2 linked regions of the Yarrowia lipolytica genome follow. The main gene of each other region encodes a partner of the protein of the gene in region 2 in a complex. Links are inferred from orthologs where the notes say so. Each region holds a gene or a part of one and is shown on either strand. Other genes may lie near its edges.

Region 1 (2,699 bases), on a different chromosome or scaffold from region 2:
TCTCCTCCCATGCCTGCAAGCAGTTACCGACCCCGTGTTGGTTCCCTTGTGGACGTCGATCTGTTCGATGTTTCTAACGCCCGACAGGCTATTGGCAAGTGGACCGGATGGCAGGTTGATCTGCGACAATGGCGAAGCCAGGGTATTGGCAGCGTTGTTACTTTGTAGGGAACATGACGAGATGCGTTGATCGTGCCTATGAAGTATCCACCATACCCACAACTTATATTTACATGAATTTTTATATGACAACAAATAAGACATTACACGACGGCATGTACAGTAAGACCATGGCGTGTAATAGGAGCGCCTGGGGAAATGTATAGACATAGTTGACCTTGCCTTATCTTAGCTGATGCTGGATCACGCTTCACGTAATTATGAAGCTTCTATGGCAGGTATTGTGCCATACCGCTAACCGCCCAGTATCCTGAACATCCAACAATCTACGACATCTACGGGATCCAACGACAGAGGTACTACTCATACCAAGACTACTCGCACAGACCTAAACCGATGCGCTTTAATGCACACACACCTAGAACCAATCATTTACTATGTACATTTTCATTGGGCTTAAGAGGCTCGAAGGATGACCTCCCCGCCGAGGAATCGTCGGCAGGCCTCGTTGAGGTCGATGACATTTCCGTCCTTTCCGGGAGTCTTGATAAGAATGACCTCACCAATCTTGGGAGGGTTGACGAACTTGACCTTTCGTCCAAGCTGTAGCTGTCGCAGCTCCTCGGTGGTCAGCACCATTCGTCTACTAGGCTTGGAGACCAGCTTCAGGCTGTTGAGAACGGGCTGGTTCTGTCGATACTTGAGCTCGATCCACAGCCGTCGCGATGCCACGTTCTGGGGGGTTGTTTCTGTGTAGACAGCATCAGGGCCGTAAATGTCTCCTCGCTGCACGCCGGAAAGGAAACCCTCACGGTAGAGACCCAGGGCAATTTGCAGGTTGAGCTTGTTGTGAGGAATGGATGTGAGGGGTCGGCCCACTCGTGCAACGTTCTGCAGGTGCGCACAGAGGTTGGAGGCGTGCAAAAGAGGCATGTCGTGCTGGTGATGTGTGGTGAGATGAAAGTTGGAGGTTGAAATTTGCAACTCATACCCAAAACTTTATTTCGATAGTGTACTGTGTGATCAGTGGTAGGAAAAGCTGTCCAGTATGAGATGATCTGATATAAAAATGAGTATGAAAAATACTTGATAATGTATGATTCAGACATACAACAAACTTGTTATAATTTTTAATTGCTCATTTCTTCAATGTCAGGTCCTGTTATCTTCACGTCAATCCCTATACTTAAATACTTCTAGATAATTCCAACTAAACTCAACTAAACTCAACTAAACTCAACTAAATTTTACCAGTTCTGCAATACGACCAAATACTATTGTTTGACTCACTCATAATTCGTTACATTAAGTAATGTCTAAATGCTACCCCTACTTAAGCCCTGGCAACTCCCTCGCCTCGACACATGGGACACGAGTTGCATCCAGTCAGGAGCCAATGATCCACACAGTCCTTGTGGAACTCGTGATGGCACTTATTGAGCTGCCGACACACGTCGCCCTTTTCGTAATCCGTCATGCAAATAGGGCATTTTTCGCCCTCGATGAACTCTTTCACCGTCGACAATCCTCCAGCCTGCTCCACGTCCTCCTGGGTAGCCAGATGGTTCTTCATGGGGCTCAGATGCCTTTCCAACAGGGACAGATCCTCCATGGTAGGTTCATCTGTGAACAGAGAAGCCGCATTGAGAATGGGATGGTCTTCAGGGTACGTGCCTCCAAAGACATAGACGATCCATGACTGTCTCAGGGGGCGCTCGGGGATGGCTTCTCGTAGCGACTCTCGAGTATTCCGAGGTTCATTGGCGTTGTCACCAGTCGGAGGAGGCAGTGAAGGGAGGCTAGGCAGAGGTGGGGCAGTCTGTGAAGCCGGAGAAGTGGCAGGGATGAGAGGATGAGGAGCCACAGCAGGAGAAATGGCGGAAGCAGATGCAGAACCGGCATCGTCGACTTGTTCCGTGCTCGCCAGAGGGGTATGGTAAGTGGATGCCGAGTCGGGCATTTCCGTCAACGAGTCTGTGCTACCCTGTCTATCTGGGTTGTTGAATGATGGGCCAAAGTCGCTCATGAATTGATCCAAGATAGATCTACCACGCTCGTAGCGCGAGCGAAGAGGGTTATACTCTACTGTGTCGGTGGGTTCACTCAGACGAATGGGTCTGGAGGTGGCTGCTTCGAAAAACGGCATGGAATCAGTGGTGATCTCCGCATTGGGTCCCTGTCCGTTATCTTCCGAAGATCTAATTCCGACCACAAGCACAGGAACAAACGTGGATCCTTCAGTCGGAGGGAATCTAAACATTCGAAAGTAGTTGAGGGGTCGAACACCTTCCGCCCCAGAGGGTTCACGAGCAGTGATCTCAGGTGAGAGCAGACCTCGCGAAAGTCCAGAGAGGAACCGGTCAAAGTCGTCTGAGGATGATCCGGTACCTCCGCCGTTCTGGAAGCCAAACTCGGTGCCCACAAGCGAAGATGCGGTCATGGCAGAGGCCAGAAACAACAATCGAGACAACATGACCGACTGATTACGTGGCTGCCGTTCATTCGACATACCTGGAATGTCCATGCCTGGAATTCCGCCCGTCGGCACACCCGAATTCCGTGTGGATGCAGGCTCGGGT
Region 2 (2,935 bases):
GATGCCGTCGCCCTGGCTAGCGGGAAGAATAGCCTTGATCTTGGAGTTAATAAAGGAAAACTTTCGAGAAATGGTCAGCAGATGGTTGCCTGCGTTATCGTAGACGTTGACCTTGAAGGGTCGATGAAGTCTGTACACCTGTCGCATGATAGCCTTGACAAAGCCGAAATCCTCCTCCTCCATGAACCCAAGCTGGTTTCCATTGCCATCCATGATGATGTATTTGTTGGCCTGTTCAAAGCCTAGGATCAGGTTCATCATCTCCATACGACGTTCAACCACCAGAATCGGCTCAGAAAGCATTCTGGTGATGGCATCAGCACCAGTAAGCACTCCGCCAGGGTTGGGTACCTGGTTGTAGTATGCAGGCTGCACCACATTGGGGTTCACGTTTGGATCCTGGGTGTCGACAGGTCTGAATCGTGCTCTCATCCGACGAGCATCGCCTCGAGGAGGATGCTGGAGTCGTAAAGATGACGAAAATGGCCGTAGAAAAGTACACACTGGCTGCCGGGAGCTTATCAAGCCGCTCAAAGGCCGTAACTGTCGCACAAACATGGTTGGACAACGTAGAAGAGAGACTGTTCACGGTGGTAGCAATGTCATACTGGATACATGCAAAAGTATGCACCTAGAGCTTGCATGCGATGGGCTAGTGGAGGTGTACTTTTCCCGGGATTGTGTGTTTCCAAAGAGCAAGAAATACTGGATTCCATTATTTCATGTCTGTGGAGCTAGCTCATAGACCTGGTCTTCTCAGTAGTCATTAATTTGACATCACACACAGACCCTGTCGGTATCCGCCTTGCCTTCAAAACGCCCAGTTGGGAAGACCACTCGGAAGTGTAATTTGGTGCCTGATAGTGTCGAGTCACTGTGATATAGCTACGAGTAGCTACAGTAGTTACTGTATATGGTCATACTAAATAGTACTGTACTTGTACGAAAGCCACAAGTAGGGTAGCTACACTATACAATGCTGTATTGTACTTGTACTAGCACGAGCACGCCTACTGTAACAAAATATAGAGTCGTACCCGCAGTTTTCGTAGACATTTGGAGATTATGTAAGCACACCTTTCGTACTCGTACTCGTACTGTAGACACCTGGGGAAGGGGGGAGGGTGTGATAACCGCACTGGTCGGGTCTCCACAGATGAGTTACAGCAAGGCCTGACAGTTTGACGTTCAGTGACAATAATAGCGACTCCATTACTGTACCTGACCCGCTCTTCCGATCTACTCCTTCCAGACCAACCAGCGATTACGTACATAAGGTACAGAACTCCCAACTGGCTAACACAAATTCTTTTGCTGTGAGACCCGCGCAAGTTTGTACAAGTACGAGAACATTAGGAATGACACAATTGTTGATTTGTAATTAATTCGCAGTCAAATAACTTTTTCTTACACCGCTATAATATCTCCAAAAAAGGCGCTCTACTACGTAATCCCTTGTTGTACATTTATATCTTCCTCGCCCACAGCTCATTCACCAGCCAATTAAGGTTACCGTACAAGGGCCAAAATTTCACTTGGACACATCCAGATCTCCATTTTGCACTCCAGACACCATGTTTCGAAACGTGATTAGCCGAGCCAAAGTGACCCAGATCGGCTCGATCCGATCCATCCACACCCCCGCCAAGCTTTCACGAGAGTCCAAGTACGCCCAGAACGGCCTGGAGGGTCTGTACTCCAAAAACGGCTTCAACACCGCTTGGACCGACTACCAGCGGTTCCTGGTGTCCAAGCTCACTGACCTGACCGTCGACACTCCTCTGCAATCGCGATCCCCTTTTGATATTTTGCGATTCACTGCCGCCGACCGAGATCAGGCTGCTACATTCAACTTTGCCTCTCAAGCCTTCAACAACCACTTTTTCTTCGAGGCTCTGGCCGAGAAGCCCGTGGCCCAGACCACAGCGCCGACAGACTACCTGCGTTCTCGACTGGAGGACAAGTTCGAGTCCATGGAGCGAGCCCGAGAGAACTTTTTGGCTACCGCCGACGAGATGACCGGAAACGGATGGGTCTTCCTCTACGAGGGAGGAGACAAGAACATGTACATTTCGGCTCACCACAACGCAGGATCTCCCTTTTCGTTCCAGCGATTCCAGCATCAAGAATTCAACTTCCCCGCCTCCGAGGAGGTCAAGCGGGACCAGCAAAACATTGAGGCTGCTGTGCGAAAGGGCCTCAAGGAGTCCATCCTGCCTCTGCTGGCCGTCAATGTGTGGCAGCAAGCCTACGTGGACGACTACGGAGTCAACGGCAAGTACAATTACTTGGAGAACTATTGGGAGTGTATTAACTGGGATGTTGTCAACGCTAGACTGTTTGTTGGTGCCCAGTAAGGGATGAATATAAAAAAGGGGGATCTGAATGTATATAGTTGAATGATTTTATCATGTAAGGGATGTCGGCAACAGTACGTCTCCCCACGGTTTTCACGTACTTGTAGTGGCTCACGTAGACACTATCTAGTGCTCTGTATACCTGAATCTGCTCACGTTGTACAACTGTTTGTCCATGTATCAAAAATAGAAAGCATTAATGTTTACTTTAGTGTGTAGCCAGAGGCTCGTGCTGGAGCTCTGCTCATGAGTCTGAAGCTCAGTACAGTATTCTTTTCAGACCCCCCATCTACTCATTAGAAATACCTCACTTCCAGCGTTAGAAACCGAAGTTCTTACGCCATTAGTCATTGTCCCATAGACATCCAATAAATAGCTCACTCTTTCTCATTATTACCTGTTCAGCTCTCCTGCGCCAACAATCAGCTGAACCAAATCCTCGTCCTCACACCAATCGATCCCAGAGGCGGTGATCAGAGCTGTGAAAATCTCTGCCAGAACTCGTCGTTTGTTTTTGGTGTTGTGTAGCTTGGCCTCGAGCTCACTAATAGCCTGGTTGTTTTGATGACGGTCCGCGC

The links.
Region 1: YALI1_B21798g (region 2) and YALI1_E36866g share a complex: the UniProt entries of both Saccharomyces cerevisiae proteins name them as parts of the mitochondrial small ribosomal subunit. The link is inferred for Yarrowia lipolytica from reciprocal best matches to the Saccharomyces cerevisiae genes RSM26 and MRPS8.

Annotation. Positions count from the first base shown.
Region 1 is NC_090774.1:3,685,608-3,688,306, forward strand, and holds YALI1_E36866g (mitochondrial 37S ribosomal protein MRPS8), read right to left. Parts: upstream 1,054-2,699; coding exon 577-1,053; downstream 1-576. Other genes in the region: YALI1_E36847g (uncharacterized protein), read left to right, coding at 1-168; YALI1_E36887g (uncharacterized protein), read right to left, coding at 1,454-2,699. UniProt on the Saccharomyces cerevisiae protein: Component of the mitochondrial ribosome (mitoribosome), a dedicated translation machinery responsible for the synthesis of mitochondrial genome-encoded proteins, including at least some of the essential transmembrane subunits of the mitochondrial respiratory chain.
Region 2 is NC_090771.1:2,178,230-2,181,164, forward strand, and holds YALI1_B21798g (mitochondrial 37S ribosomal protein mS42), read left to right. Parts: upstream 1-1,574; coding exon 1,575-2,357; downstream 2,358-2,935. Other genes in the region: YALI1_B21787g (uncharacterized protein), read right to left, coding at 1-558; YALI1_B21816g (uncharacterized protein), read right to left, coding at 2,751-2,935. UniProt on the Saccharomyces cerevisiae protein: Component of the mitochondrial ribosome (mitoribosome), a dedicated translation machinery responsible for the synthesis of mitochondrial genome-encoded proteins, including at least some of the essential transmembrane subunits of the mitochondrial respiratory chain.